4 linked regions of the Callithrix jacchus genome follow. The protein of the gene in region 2 interacts with the protein of the main gene of each other region in a biochemical or structural test. Links are inferred from orthologs where the notes say so. Each region holds a gene or a part of one and is shown on either strand. Other genes may lie near its edges.

Region 1 (4,416 bases), on a different chromosome or scaffold from region 2:
ATTCTTAATTTTCCAGCATTGTTCCTGAGACTGTTTCACAAAAAAAGAAAGTTCTCCCTCTTATCCACTTAACCTAACAATTTCTGCCCATCCCAATCCTCCTGCATTTATTGCTTCCAAGAATTTGGCACTTAGGACACCCTTGTCCTTACATTGTTCATGCATGTATATTTCATCTTCAAAAAACATTTAGTCGCTCAAGGGCAAGGGCCCCAGAGTCCCAATATGCTAAGGGCCTGATGTCGCTTAATAATTTAGATTCCAGCGGGGCTACTCTCCAGGGAGGAGAGCAAAGAGCAAATTACCTTACGGGCTGGGAGTGCAGGAGCCAAACCTTTGAGACTGAAAACAAGAAGGCCAGAGACGATTCAGCAGCAGGCATCCAAGCAAGAAAAACTCAAATACTGCTCCTAATAATGTCTAATGGCAAATACCGTGTAAGGGCCCAGGCAGTCCGGACAGCCTGCAGTGCCCCAGGATAAAACTAACCCTGAGGGCTGATGGCCCAGAGTGACGCCCGTCCTGGCCTCTGGATCTCTATTTTTAGGTCGAAGGGCTTTATTCTTGAATCCCGAGTTCCCGGAGACAGTCCTACGGCAGCTTAGTTTTCTTTCTACCCTTCCAGGGTCACAAACTTGGCGGTGACCCAGCCCTTTCTCGCAGGCCGCCTCAGGTTTCCAGAACTGTGGCCCTACGGTTTAGCAAGAAAAGAGGCGAGGCCCGGGGAGCCTGCAGGGTTAGGCCCTGCCAAGGCCACGCCCTATCTCCAGGAGGCCAACGGGCTGTCCCTGAGCGCCAAGGCCCCGCCCAGCGGTCCGCCGATTGGCCCCACCGCCCCGGGGCCTCTACTCACTTCCGCCTCGGGCGCGGCTCAGGCCACGCCCACCCGCTGTGAGGCTGTGGGCACTTTGTGAGTTTGGGGATTGTTGCGTCCCGTAAGCGGACTCACAAGGGACTTCCCTGCTCAGCTGGCTCCCGGTTTCTCTGCTTACCTCCGGATAAATGACGGCTTCTTCCGCGACGCGCATGGCGCCTCCCAGCCGCCGCGAGTGTCCCTCTCCTTCCTGGCGTTTTCCTGGGTTGCTTCTGGCGGCCCTGGTGTTGCTGCGGTCCTCCTGCTCTGGTAGGATCCCGGGGCGGGTTCGCGCGTCAGCGGTGAAGCTAGAACTCTGCTGGATCAGCTGGGCAGGAGGCGCGGGGCGGGACTGACCGTTTGTCCTGCCGGCTTGGGGTAGAGGGCGAGGCCAGGGTTCTCCGAGGAGCGCAGTGCGCAGATCCCTGGGGTGTGTGGCGGAGGATGCGGGGACCACTTAGAGCCCGAGGTGAAGCTTGTTTGCTGGAGTGATGTGCGCGGCCCGAATTTACGTAGGGTCTGGCTGCGCCCCCAACAAAAGCCTGCACCTTGTTTTCGGGATTGAGTCCAGTCGGCAAGTGGAGCGCGCACTGGGTGCCCCTGGTAAGGGCTTGCTTTGGAGTGCACGGGTGCGTGGGAGTGTTGCTAGGGCCCGTGCTGTGCCGCCGGTGAGAGTTTAACATGTGTTCCCTGGGCGGGGCGGTTGGTGCCTTGGTGAGCCGGGTGTTCCTTAGCACTTCGGCAGTATCTGCGAAAAGTGCTGCGGCGCGTCCGTCCGCTGTGCCCCATGGGCTGGGCTGGCATGGGCTGTGCTGGGCGATCAGGGGCCTGGCCTGGTGTTGTTGGGAGCGTGCTGTGTTGTGTGCAAGTGGCCTGCCCTTCAGAGTTCACGGTGGACAAGACAGCTCACTGTTTGCTTTGAATGGTGTGAGCGTGGACTCTGGGGCTAGGGGGGTTATGTTGGGTGAGAACAGGTTCTCAGTGCCTGGGGTTAGAGATGCTGGTAAGGGCACGCCACGCGTTTTGTGCCTTCTGTGAACAGTCTCCGTGTTGCCTGAGATCCTATTGGTCTTGATTTTTAACTAGCTGGTTTTTTGGGACTTGGGTGGGTCATGGAGTCATCTTCCTGTTCCCAACCAATGTAGACACTCTCTGATTCCATTACCTAATGGCTTTTTGACATAATTTTCCTTCTTTTCATTGTTTGAGTCATATTTGAGAGATGTGAAGAAACCTAAAAAACACTGGTAACCAAACCTATTGAGAAATTAGTATCCTAACAAAGGAAAGGAAATTATGTTAATCTGTTTTCCCTGCAACTCATAAACTAAAGCTGAAGCCCATCCCACTAAATTTGTTTTGTATTTCATTGAATGGAATAATACTATTAAAAATGCATACTAGGCCAGGTGCAGTGGCTCATGCCTGTGATCCCAGCACTTTGGGAGGCCCAAGTGGGGTGATTGCTTGAGCCCAGGAGTTGGGCAAGCAAAACCCCATGCAAACCCCATATCTACAAAAAATACAAAAATTAGATGGGCATGGTGGTGTATGCCTGTGGTCCCAGCTACTCTGGAGGCTGAGGTGAGAGGATCGCTTGTGCTTGGGAAGTGAAGACTGCAGTGAGCTGTGATCATGCCACTGTGCTCCAGCCTGGGTGACAGAGTGAGACCCTATCTAGAAAAAAAAAAAAAAAGCTAAGAAATACATGCTTATTAAACAAAACGAACAGAATCACAGGACAACTATTTTTAATATTTTGGACTATTTCCATCTGACTTTATATGCGCTTCAGGTGTATCTATGTCCAAACTTATATTTAGGATCCTATTACGTGTACAGGTTGTACGTTACGTTTCTTTCCTTAGGAACATTCATTCAACGAATGTCGGCCTAGAATGTGTGGTGCTATTACACTGGTAGGCAATCCCAAACGTTCCTATTTTCTTGATCCTTTTTTTCGCCATTTGTTTACACACATGTACATGCAGGAAGATAAGCAGGGGCTTTGTTTTGTGCACTGCTGCAAGCTCAGTGCTGGGAACACAGTAAACAATAACTATTCGCTAAAATGTATTGGGAGTGGCAGACATTAACTAAACGTAATAGTAACAAATATATTATGAACCAAGGGAAGTGCTCTGGAGAAAAGGAGTATAATTTTCTGACAGCATTTAACAAATGGACTGGAGGCAGGGAAGGCTTTTCTGCTCATCAAAGAGACAAAACTCTGCCTCTTTGGGGCATCTGTGCTTGCTGTTCTCAGCCCTGGAACATTCTCCTGAACTGCTGCATAAACGGGCTCTTTTCTTCTGCAAACTCGGCTGGTATGTTATCCCCTCAGAGACCTTCTCTGACCGCCCCCCGTTTCAGGTTGGAGACATACAACCCAGTTCAAGTCCCTCTTCACTTGTAATCACGCTTTAAAAATGACCTTTTCTATTCTTTGTCTCTCCCCATCAGAATGCAGGGATCTTATCTGTCTTGTCACATTTGTGGTTCCAAAAGCCCAATTTGTTTGCCTCCATATCAATACTGACTCAGTATCCATATAGACATCTGTTAAATACCAGAAAATTAAATATACTATTTGGCTGGGGCTTAGAGCCTAGGAAAAAGTTCCTCCTGCCTCCAGGAAGAAGGTTGTTTAAAGAGCTATGCTCAGGGTGGTTTTTCTGTGGTACCTAAAAAGCCAGGGCAGGGGCAGCTGAGGGCCCGAAAGGATCTTCCTCCCCTGTTCATGTTGACTGTAGGGTTTCCAGTACTTAAGTCTGGCATTTCAGTGATTATTAAAACGTTCATTTTGAAGGAGGGTGATGGGAGGAGGGAGCAGTGGTGATAAGAAGAAAACGAAAGGCCTTTTATTTTCTTTTAAGATTAATGTTTAGAATAGACTTAGTACTAGAAGTTCAGGCTGGGCAACATAAGGAGATCCCACCTTTACAAAAAATGAAAAAAAAAAAAAAAATTAGCCAGGTGTGGAGTTTGTTGCATGCCTGTAGTCCCAGCTACTTGAGAGGCTGAGTGAGAATCACTGGAGCCCCCACGGTCAAGGCTGCAGGTCAAGGCTGCAGTAAGCCCTGATTGTACCACTGCACTCTAGCCTGGGTGACAGAGTGAGACCCTGTTTCCAGAAAAAAACGAAAAGGAAAACACACACACACAAATAGGAAGTTGAAGAAGATAATGAAAGTGATTTGAAATAGAGGAACACAGAAAAATAAAATAGGGTGCAACATGGAAGATAACCTTGTTTTTCCTTCTCTTCATTCTTAGTTAAGTTTGAGGTTGATAAGGTTAAATCAACAACAAGTATGAAACCTAGAGAAAGTAAAAATGAGAACTCATGATGCCACGCAGGGAGAATACATGAACTAAAATAAACATTCAATTTTTGGAGCAACTCACTCTCACAAGGAGAAGGTTTTGTAAGCAGACAATGCTGCACATGGGAGACCTGCTCTCTCAAAGGTAGTTGCCAAAGGGTTCAAGACAGCAGAAGGAAACACATATCAAATTTCAGGCCAGTCTCATTCCTCCAGAAGAGAAGCCACTTTTTTGGA
Region 2 (3,805 bases):
CTGAACACTCCTCGGACAGACGATTGACATGGTTCAAGGAATCCCACGACTTTCCCACAGGGCCTAAAAGAGCTAGCCCATTTGCATTCAAGTTATTTCTCCCAGGCCTGCTAGACTCTTGATAATAAATTACTTCTTAGCATGATGGAGTGTGAACTCACACTGCCGGCCACACGCTCGTCTTCTGTGATGGCTTTGATTGTCAAAGCCAAACTTGTATAAAAATTACAGTCACAGGGATTTTCTTACCTAACTGGCACGTTTTGCCAGTCCACTGTGGGGGGCACACACACTTAAATCCATTAACCAGGTCCTGGCAGGTGCCCCCGTGGGAACAGTTATTGGGAGAACAGTCATCAATGTCTGGTCAACAAGAAAAGGAGGGGGTTGACAACTTAATTCAATCTGCCTGACAATTAGATCATTTAACATCACCTCTCATATGAGGGGCTGTTGTTGAAGAGCCAGACACCTGCTACAAAAAAAGCTACAGCAGGACAAGTGGGACAGTGATAAGGCCGAAGCCTTGATTTTAGCTTTAAATCCCCCACTGCCCCAGTTCATGTAATCCCCAACCTAAGCAGTGGGGGAGAAAGACAGCTGGATACTGACAGAGCGTCCACCCAATGGGAACTCAGGACATCTCTATCTGCCTAATCTTTGTTTTCAAAGGAAAGTTTCATCATGGCTCAGAAGCAGCTAAGAAGTATGGAAAAATAGTTCAGGTGGAAAACCTTATTCCTCTTACTTGCTTACAGAGTTTGCCCAAAATAACACACCTGGAGGCTGCATTCTCCACTTCTGCTCTGACCAGAGAGACCTCCTAACACTTTATGAAGTATTCACTTTTGTGTCTTTATGACAACCCTCGGAGATGGGAGTTGCTACTGTGCCATTTAAAGAGGGCCCAGGGAGCTTACGTGGCTTGCTGGAGTTCCGCAAATGATGGGCGGGGGCCCTGGGCCAGCACAGGCAATCTGACCCCAGAAATCCACACCCCTAACCACACCTGGGGTGCTGATGACAGCAGTTCTCAGACCTGGCTGCACTGCAGAATTCCAGAAGTTTATCAAAGACCATGCACTCCCCGATTGTGGAGGGAATATGGGGGACCCAGAGATCTACACCGTTAAGCACCCCAGGTGATTCTGACATACAGCCCTATCTCACAGCCAAAGGAACTCTGCAGACCAGGTTCTTCTTTTAGGGCCCCCTGGCCCGATGACAAAATTCATTAGTGAGTGACAACCTCCCCTGAAGGCAGCCTCTCCATGGCTGCAAGGAAAATAACCACAATTGGAAGGTGGCCAGCTCCAGGAAGCAGATGCAAAGGAACAAGCGATTCCATGAGGACGTTTCTTCCAAGAACAGATACATTCGCTACCTTAGTGGGACAGGATGGGGGTGCTGGGAGACTTCCAAACACACAAGCCACCAGCCTGCTTGCCAGACTTCTGCCTGCAGCCGCCCCTCTCCCACTGAGACATCCACGCTGGACAGGCCTAGGTACTTCTCCCCATCGTGGTATCTTGGCACAAGGATCCTTAGAATGGACACAGGCTGAAAATTGGACTTACTTGTAGAGCACGTGGGGCCGGTCCAGCCTGGGGAACACTCACACTCAAAGCCCAGGGAGGTCTCCTTACAGCTGCCTCTGTTGTGGCAGGGATCAGAGAGGCAGGCGTGCTCAGCTGCAAAAACCAGGATGGCAATCAGCGAGGGATACCTGTGCACCCCTACCTCTCCACTCCCCCTGCAACCAGATCCCATGCCGCAGGCACTATAGCGCAGGCATATTTCAAAAACCAAAAGCAAGCATGTGATAGAACCCTGCTGTGTCTAGGAAAGAAAGGAAGTCATCTTTCTTGCTGAGCTGTCTCTAACCACATTTCAACACATCTCAGGGTTGGGGTCATTTCATCTCCCCGCTGCCTCCTTTGTGAATCAACATCACCCAAAAAACTTCAGGGACTTGAAAGTTACAAAGGCCCATAGAATGGCTGGAATAATTCCTATCTTTGGAGACTATTTTCGCTTTTTCCTAAGTCCTTAAGTATATTTTTTTAAAAGCTGAGTACAGAAAAATTAGACAAAGGACTCTCATTCAGCTTGGACCACTTACCAATTTCACAGCTGACTCCTGAATATCCCTCAGGGCAGGAACACTGATATTTGTCAGGGCCCGTGTTGCTACAAGCTCCCCCGTTGAGACACGGCTGATGGGTTCCACAATAATTGAGATCTGCCAAAAAGATCCTGATGTCACTAAGAGATGCCTGTGAAGATGGCAAACCCGCCATGTTTCTAGCCCCATCTTTTTTTTTTTTTTTTTTTTTTTTTTTTTTTTTTTTGAGATAGAATCTCCCTCTGTTGCCCAGGCTGGTGTGCAGTGGCACGATATCAGCTCATTGCAAACACTACCTTCCCAGGTTCAAGCGATTCTCTTGCCTCAGCCTCCCGAGTAGCTGGGACTACAAGTGCGCACCACCACGCATGGCTAATTTTTATATTTTTAGTAGAGATAGGGTTTCACCGTATTAGCCAGGATGGTCTCGATCTCCTGACCTGGTAATCCACCCGCCCTGGCCTCCCAAAGTGCTGAGATTATAGGCACGATCCAGCCAGCCCCATCGTCTTTTAAAAAGAAAACCAGAAAATCCCCACAGCATTTAAGGAGAATTCAGAATAAAAGCCCCTGCCAATAAAATTAAAAACCAAATGACTGCCATCCCACCCCAGAACCCACACCCCTCCTGAGGCCCGCATCCCACCCTGGGTTTCATCCCTAAGGGCCATACCTTTGTCACAGAGCTGGCCGCCCCAGTTGGTCTCACAGAGGCACTGCCAGGGCTCGATACAGATGCCGTGGACACATCCTGGGTGCGGGATGCACTTATCACAGTACAGGCCTTGCCAGCCATACTGGCACCTGGAGACACACAGCATACCTCCAGCTCAGCCTTTTGTACATTAAGAGAGTAAGTCCAGCCTTTTTCTGTTATGTTTCTGAGGACAGGATGGTAGACTCCCAAGGCTCATCAGGGGCTCCATACAAACAAACATTTTCACAGTTGGGCTGGGGTCCCCTCCCAGCCGACTCCTGACAAAAGGAGGGCTGTTTGGGGATACCCTTCACAAAGCCACTCTCTTCTCAGGACAACTCGAGTAAGCCAAGGGTGAAGGCAGGGAATAAAACAACCCACGCACGTAGTTGCAACAGACACAGACCGTAGAGCAAAGGACTCTCCTGGTGACAACAGAGTTCTGCCAACGTCTCTGCAGACACTGCACTTGCAGCTCTGCTCTGTCTGCACAGAAAGTCACGGCCCCAAAGCACAGAAATGCAACGAGCCACCAAGTGCAGCAGGAACCTGCCTCATGATGATGATTTAAAAAAAAAAAAGAGAGAAAGGGGCACCCTCCCTTGGCAAAGGCCAGGATAGCATCTCTAAAACCACTTCCATAGGGAAGGAGAAGGAAATGACAACACTTGGAACCAGCTCCATAATTTGTGTCCCATTACTGTGTGCTAATTTATAGTGATTTCTTGCTTTGCCAAAAAAAAAAAAAAAAAAAAAAAAGTCTGCTTAATTTATCTAGTATTAGGGGAGTTGAGGTTCTTTTATATAAGCACCTTGATTAATCATACTCTTTTGGGGCCAAATAGTGCCTTTGATCCACAAACAAAAACAAAACCTTTCACCTGGGGTGGGAGGGAGGGCAGCTTCTCAAACCACCCTCCAAGTTTCAAGCTCTCTGAAACTTTAACTGCCTTCTCAAGAGCCAAGCTTTAACAAGGGTGGGG
Region 3 (4,381 bases), on a different chromosome or scaffold from region 2:
GCAGTGGAGTGGGAATGGAGCAGAGAGATGCCAAGAAGTAATGGGTAAATTTTTTTTAATCTAAATTTTCAGAAAAACAAGAGAGAAAGGAATAATCAATCTCCTCCCCCCGCCACCACACCAAAAAAAAAAAAGGAATAATAATGTAGAAAGAACAAGAAAAAAGTGAAAGGAAAAATAGTTTTAGGGTAAATTTCATCTCCATCCGAAAGAAAATTACTCTGATTTTGTTTAAGCAAGAGAAGAATTCAGCTGAGAAATTAGCAGGCAGCAAAATCAGGGAGTCACTTCCCACTGCAAAGCAAAAGAAAACAAGGAGCAAGGGGGTGGTCCTGGATAGCTGTAGACAATGGGACATACGGGCTGACAGCTCCTTGCCTTAGAAATTCCGTGATGTTTAAATTAACAATTGGCCACAAGCCAAACACAGGAACACTCAAAAGTTTGGAAGGGTGCACTGTAATTGGTACCTTAGCAAAACACAGTAATAAATTAGGAGGATTCAAGAAGCCTTCACATTAGACTCTAAGATTAAAGATTTGTACCAAGAAACAGGCTTCGAAACCTCTGCTACGGCAGTAGTTTAGCATCTAAGGAATACTTGCCTAAAAATCAAAATATCTAAATCCTACCCCTTCAGTCAACTTCACTAACACTCAACTTGACTACCTAAAACTCACCTAATACTCGCAGCACCTCAGCAGGGCAGAGGTGGAGGGCATCGTTTTGTGCACTGAGATCCTAGAATAAAAGAAGCCCTGTGTGTCAGAGTAATCCTATTTCTGACATCGGATTATTTAATACTTAATTTCGTAATCACTTTACAATCATATTTATTATTCCCTCCAATTCTCTAAAGCAGGCTATTTTTCTCAGTCCAGTTTCATAGGTGAGGAGACGACGGATCATGAAGATTAAGTTATTTACCAAAACAAGTTAATGGCAGACCAAGGATTGTGGTCCTGAGACTGTCCCATTGATTATACTCCTCTGTCTTCTAAAGCTACACTTACAGTTTTTACTCAAAGAAAAAGGAAAAGCAAAAACACCGTCATATGCTCGTTACTAAATGTTTCAGAAACAACAGCTTTGCTTCATCACTGCAAAGTCTCTGGTCCGCTTCTGAAATTCTTAGTGACCTAGAGGTGAATGAAATTTGAACTTTCCAAGAAGAATCTAGTTGGTGCTGAACAACTCAGTACTGTTTTCAGGTGATAAATAACCTTGCTCTCTTTTTAAATACCTGCGATTGACATGTCGACAGCCTGTTAACAATGAACAAAGACCATATTTTTCTGAAGCTCATCATCTTCCTAACCTTTTCATTGAAAAAAAAAAATATGTAGTTCATGTACCAGTTTTTGGTGAAGGTAAAATCTTTGTTCAGATTAGGCTCAGAAAAAGAAAGGGCTCCCTTTTTGTTCAACAAGCATGCACAAGACACCATCCCACTGTAAGCATCAATTTCAGGAAGAAAAAAACACAGCCTCAGCCCTGAAACGCCTTTAGAGTGCCATCCCTTTAACATACATTATTGTAATTAATCCTATTAACTGCGTAATTTCATTCCCATTTTATTGGTGAGTTCATACAGCAGAGCTGGATTTGAATCCAGGATTACAGAGCAGGCCTTCAAAGTCCAAGTTATTTCCCCCGACGAGTCTGAAGAAATCCAGAATCTAAAAGTGTGGGTGGGATGGAGAAGATATGACTCGATTCCCTTTCCTCGCTCCAACCGTGTTAGAAATATCCAACCATAAAGAGGCTTTCTAAGGAAGCCCTTTGAATTAACGTATCCACTTTTCCTTACCCGCCCGTGCCCCACCCCCAGCCATGCCAAAGGAGCAGCAAATCCTGCTGCCAGGTTGGAGGAGTTGGTGATCGTCACACCACATTCCTGGGTCTGGACACAGCCTGAAACTGCAGCAGAGCTCCGCGCCTCGGAAAGAATAACAGCAGTTGAGATTTTTAAATCATGTGCCTCAGCATGCAGCCACACCAGTTGCCCTACTTCTCCTGCCTCCACCTTTCCAAGACGCTAGCAGCACACCCGGCTCCTCCGGACTTTCGGTCGAGTCGGAGTGTCAAAAGTCAGGCGCGCCCCAAACTCCGTCCCCATCCAAAGCAAGCCTCACACCCGGCCCGTGAGCACAGCCCGGGCGGGCCGCGAAGGTGCAGGCCGTGGAGCTCGGCGGCCCAGCCCCCTCTCTCCACGCCGGAATCTGGCATTCCTTCGCTCAGCCCCTCCGCGGCCCGCCGTCGGCTCTCGCTCGACCCCAGGAAACGCGGAACCCGAAGGGCAAAGCTGCCCACCTCCCTGCGCCCTGGCGCCAGGAAAAAGGAGCTTCTGAGACTCGCTGCCGGCCTCCCTCCGGCCAAGGCGTGCGAGGCGTCCCGAGCCGCGGGGAGCAGAAGGCGGCGGGGAACCCCGGGAGGCGGCGGGGGCGCCACGGGAGGGGCCCCCGGCGATGTCCAAACTCGCGGGCGCCCGGCGAGCGGCCGAGCCCGGCCTTCCCGCACAGAGGAGGACCGAGGGGAAAAGGTCGCCCCAGGTGGCGGCCCCGGGCGCCGCAGACAGCGCCCCGCAGCCCGATACTCACCACGCGCGGGGGCCGCGCACCACAGCCCGAGAGCCAGCAGCGCCCACAGCGGCGCGGGGCGCAGGGCGGGCATCTTCTCGGTCGCCTCCTCCGCCGCCGCCGCCGCCGCCTGGGCAGATCCACATGGGGAGGGGGTCCCGACAGGGGAGCCCCACTCTCTCCTCCCCTCCTCCCGCTTCAGAGGCTCGGGCCCTGGCGCTGCGCTCCGAAGCCCCGGCGCAAATGCCCGGACTCCCCCCGCCCGGGGCCCGCCGCTGCTCGGCCGCCGCCTCAGCCGCCGCCCGAAGTTTGGCTGAAACTTTCTCGGGTGTGCGGAGAAGCAGCCTCGTGTGTCCTTCCGCCTCGGCCGCCTCCTCCCACCGCAAGCCCCGCCCCCCTGTCGCCGCGGACCCGGCCCCGCCGCCTTGGGCACCCAGGGGTTTCCCGCAGGAAGAAGCGCCGGCCCGAGCTCCGCGCGGAGGGATCTACTACAAGTCCCCGTCGCCGGCCGCATCTTTCTCCAGAAGCCCCGGGGGCCGCCGCGCCTTAACTCGGTCGGCGCTGCCGCGCTTCGGCAGGCGGAGGGAGCTTGGGGGCCGAGGGGGCGTGGGGGAGCGTGGGGGGGCGTGGGGGACCGTGGGGGCGTGGGGGGGTGTGGGGAGCGTGGGGGACCGTGGGGGGTGGGGGGGCGTGGGGGCGTGGGAGGGTGGGGGCGTGTGGGGGCGTGGGGAGCGTGGGAGCGTGGGGGGGGCGTGGGGAGCGTGGGGGGGCGTGGGGGAGCCTAGGAGCGTGGGGGCGTGGGGAGCGTGGGGGAGGGTGGGAGCGTGGGGGGCGTGGGGGCGTGGGGGAGCCTGGGAGCGTGGGGAGCGTGCGGAGCGTGGGGGGTGTGGGGGAGCGTGGGGGGTGTGGGGGGGGCGTGGGGGCCGAGGGGGGTGGGGTAGAACTCGGAACTTCAAGCCCTGGCGTTTGCCGGGACCGTGAACTTGAAGGGAGAGGCGGCCCGCGGCCAGTGAGTCCTGTGTCGCCCCCACACCCACACGTCCACACACTGCTAGCTAGAGGAATGCGCTGGCGTAGGACCAGCGCTGTCAAAGAAGGAAAGGGGGCCAAGGCGCCAAAGTCCATTAAAAGGGGATAGAACCGTCACCGAGTGGTGCTGCTCTACTCATTCATTCATTCGTTCTCCCGTGTAGCAAGTATTTCTTAAGTGCCTTGCTCTGCAGAGCTGTGTGCCTGGCACAGCGGAATGACACCAAAGATGCACAAGCGATTTTGAGGACCAAGACTTTGCTGCTGTGGGCTGCGGGGTTCAGGGAAGGCTTTCACAGAGCAGCGGAGATGAAGGCAGGATCTTGAGGGGTCAGTAAAATTTCTATACGACGAGGAGACCGCCTAAGCTAAACATACTCATTTTAACGCTGTAATAACAAAACCTTGAAAACGACGTAAATGCCCACCCTCAGAGGAATGGATGAATAACGTATACTTATAAAATGAAATGCAACACAGTAACTGAAAAGACTGTGCTCATGTATGTCAGTAGGGATAAATCCTAAAAACTAAATGATAGTGTAAAAACTCATTGCAGAGGGAGACAAAGTATACCATTTATGTATTTTTTCAAAACAATACTACACATTTTCTGTGGATGGGTATATATAGATACAGATATTAAGAGACTATGGTAGTTAATTCCAGGGCAGGTGAGTAGGGGGCTTGATCAGGCCTGGGCACAAGTGGGCTTTTAAGAAAGGAACTAAAAGTAAGAACAACAACAATAGTTGTATGGACACATCATTCCA
Region 4 (2,839 bases), on a different chromosome or scaffold from region 2:
GCCTCTCCCTGTGACCCAGATCCTAATCCGGAACCGAGCCACAGACCTGGACGCCCGCATGCACGATGGCACGACACCGCTGATCCTGGCTGCCCGCCTGGCCGTGGAGGGCATGCTGGAGGACCTCATCAACTCGCACGCTGACGTCAACGCCGTAGATGACCTGGGTAAGCCCTCGGGGGCAGGCCTGCCACAGGGAGGGTCGGACCGGGCTCCTGCCCGCTGGTCTCCAACCCACCCCATCTGCTTCCTTCACGCAGGCAAGTCCGCCCTGCACTGGGCTGCCGCTGTGAACAATGTGGATGCCGCAGTGGTGCTCCTGAAGAATGGGGCCAACAAGGACATGCAGAACAACAAGGTGAGCGTGAGACCAGGGCGCAAAGGGGGACGAGAGAGGGGACTTGGGGGATGAGAGGTCTGAACCCACAGAGCTCAGGGAAGCGAGAGCCAAATCCAAGGGGCACAGGGAGGCGAGGGCCTGAGCCACAGGGTCTCGAGGACTCCTGGGCCCGAGAACAGGCTCCGCCTGCATGGTGCCGGCACCTCCTTAGTGCTCCCCGTCTCCTTCAGCCCCTGTTTACGGAGCCCTCCCAAGTGCATGTCCACTGTCAGGACATGGCAGTCACCCGGTAGACCCAGCCCTGTCCTGGGTTGCAGTCACAGTGTAGTCACAGCCTGGCGTGGGGAACAGTGGGCAGGGCGCACAGCCTGGCGTGGGGAATGGAGCCCCTATCACACTGTTCTGTCACTGTCACCTGGACCTCACCTTCTGTCCCCAGCTGTTACCAGGCAGGGGTGAGGATGGGAACGTGGTGACCCCGGTAGTGTAGATTCAGCCAGAACACACGTGGCAGCAGCTCCCTGCAGGGCAGGACCCTTGGGGTGAATGAGCAGCTCTTCCTCTGAGTGGAGCCGCCCCCAGCCCTCATCCTGGCCTTGCAGTTCTGGGCGAGTATCTGATCTGAGCAGCTGCTATTGGGCTCCTGGGCATTCAGGACACAGGTGCAGATGCCCCCACCTCCCTGCCACCCGAAGCCCCACCTCCGCGCCCAACTCCAGCTCCCCCCTTGGCATGCCAGGCTAAGCTGTCTCTCCCTCCTGGGCGAGGGCAAACGGCAGGCCAGGGCACCCAGGCATGTTGGCCCAGGTGCTCCCTGGTGCCACCACGGAGACTGGGCCCCACAGGGCACCGAGGGCTGAGAAGCCCCCTCCCACTCCCTCGAAGCAACCTCACCCAGACGTGTGGTGTCTCCACCACACTGAGGGGACCCTAGGAAGGGGCTTGGTGGCGGTCCAGATGACATGCTCCCTCCCTGGTGCCTTCATTGGTGCAGCAATTTCCTTCTGTGCCTTATTGGGGGCAGGGAAGAGGGGCTGCAGTTTGTTAGATTTTCAGTGGGGTCTATGACCCCCACATAAAGGTGGGGCCCTGCTGATCTAGGGTAGAGGACTGCACAAACCCCCTCTGGGTGGGTTTCAGAAATTGTATTGAAGCCTTCACATTTAACAAGAGTCAGGCCAGGTGGTTGCTGGACGCGGGGCCAGGGTCCCGAGGAATGTCCTGCACCACCCCTTCTCCCCCTCTTGTCTCCGAGGAGGAGGTTGTACTGCTGCTCCCTCTGGTGATGGAGCCTTGGGGAGAGTCCCCATGCCAGGCCTGGCTCCCCTCACCGGCCCCACCCTCGCCCCCCAGGAGGAGACGCCCCTGTTTCTGGCTGCCCGGGAAGGCAGCTATGAGACCGCCAAGGTGCTGCTGGACCACTTTGCCAACCGAGACATCACAGACCACATGGACCGCCTGCCACGGGACATCGCGCAGGAGCGCATGCACCATGACATTGTGAGACTGCTGGACGAGTACAACCTGGTGCGCAGCCCGCAGCTACACGGAGCCCCGCTGGGGGGCACTCCCACCCTGTCGCCCCCGCTCTGCTCGCCCAATGGCTACCTGGGCAGCCTCAAGCCTGGCGTGCAGGGCAAGAAGGTCCGCAAGCCCAGCAGCAAAGGCCTGGCCTGCAGCGGCAAAGAGACCAAGGACCTCAAGGTGCGGAGGAAGAAGTCCCAGGACGGCAAGGGCTGCCTGCTGGACAACTCCGGCATGCTCTCACCTGTGGACTCCCTGGAGTCACCCCACGGCTACCTGTCAGATGTGGCCTCACCGCCACTGCTGCCCTCCCCATTCCAGCAGTCTCCATCCATGCCCCTCACCCACCTCCCCGGCATGCCTGACACCCACCTGGGCATCGGGCACCTGAACGTGGCAGCCAAGCCCGAGATAGCGGCGCTGGGCGGGGGTGGCCAGCTGGCCTTCGAAGCCGGCCCCCCACGTCTCTCCCACCTGCCTGTGGCCTCCGGCACCAGCACCGTGCTGGGCTCCAGCAGCGGAGGGGCCGTGAATTTCACTGTGGGCGGGTCCACCGGTTTGAATGGTCAGTGTGAGTGGCTGTCCCGGCTGCAGAGCCGCTTGGTGCCGAGCCAGTACAACCCGCTGCGGGGGGGCGTGGTCCCAGGCCCCCTGAGCTCGCAGGCCCCCTCTCTGCAGCACAGCATGGTGGGCCCTCTGCACAGCGGCCTTGCTGCCAGCACCGTGCCCCAGATGATGAGCTACCAGGGCCTGCCCAGCACCCGGCTGGCCACCCAGCCTCACCTGGTGCAGACCCAGCAGGTGCAGCCCCAGAACTTACAGATGCAGCCACAGAACCTGCAGCCACCAAACATCCAGCAACAGCAAAGCCTGCAGCCACCGCTGCCACCACAGCCACACCTCAGCGTGAGCTCCTCGGCCAGCGGCCACCTGGGGCGGAGCTTCCTGAGTGGAGAGCCGAGCCAGGCGGACGTG

The links.
Region 1: the proteins of JAG1 (region 2) and CD46 form a complex in vitro, tested with the Homo sapiens proteins (2 studies listed by IntAct, with this or other methods). The link is inferred for Callithrix jacchus from reciprocal best matches to the Homo sapiens genes JAG1 and CD46.
Region 3: the proteins of JAG1 (region 2) and NOTCH2 form a complex in vitro, tested with the Homo sapiens proteins (2 studies listed by BioGRID). The link is inferred for Callithrix jacchus from reciprocal best matches to the Homo sapiens genes JAG1 and NOTCH2.
Region 4: the proteins of JAG1 (region 2) and NOTCH1 form a complex in vitro, tested with the Homo sapiens proteins (3 studies listed by BioGRID and IntAct, with this or other methods). The link is inferred for Callithrix jacchus from reciprocal best matches to the Homo sapiens genes JAG1 and NOTCH1.

Annotation. Positions count from the first base shown.
Region 1 is NC_133520.1:35,123,958-35,128,373, forward strand, and holds the start of CD46 (membrane cofactor protein), read left to right. Parts: upstream 1-1,456; 5' UTR 1,457-1,534; coding exon 1,535-1,778; intron 1,779-4,416. UniProt on the Homo sapiens protein: Acts as a cofactor for complement factor I, a serine protease which protects autologous cells against complement-mediated injury by cleaving C3b and C4b deposited on host tissue.
Region 2 is NC_133506.1:17,765,818-17,769,622, forward strand, and holds part of JAG1 (protein jagged-1), read right to left. Parts: intron 2,930-3,805; coding exon 2,799-2,929; intron 2,243-2,798; coding exon 2,123-2,242; intron 1,692-2,122; coding exon 1,578-1,691; intron 364-1,577; coding exon 250-363; intron 1-249. UniProt on the Homo sapiens protein: Ligand for multiple Notch receptors and involved in the mediation of Notch signaling. May be involved in cell-fate decisions during hematopoiesis. Seems to be involved in early and late stages of mammalian cardiovascular development.
Region 3 is NC_133508.1:158,272,104-158,276,484, forward strand, and holds the start of NOTCH2 (neurogenic locus notch homolog protein 2), read right to left. Parts: upstream 2,891-4,381; 5' UTR 2,674-2,890; coding exon 2,601-2,673; intron 1-2,600. UniProt on the Homo sapiens protein: Functions as a receptor for membrane-bound ligands Jagged-1 (JAG1), Jagged-2 (JAG2) and Delta-1 (DLL1) to regulate cell-fate determination.
Region 4 is NC_133502.1:184,966,819-184,969,657, reverse strand, and holds part of NOTCH1 (neurogenic locus notch homolog protein 1), read left to right. Parts: intron 1-19; coding exon 20-167; intron 168-260; coding exon 261-358; intron 359-1,693; coding exon 1,694-2,839. UniProt on the Homo sapiens protein: Functions as a receptor for membrane-bound ligands Jagged-1 (JAG1), Jagged-2 (JAG2) and Delta-1 (DLL1) to regulate cell-fate determination.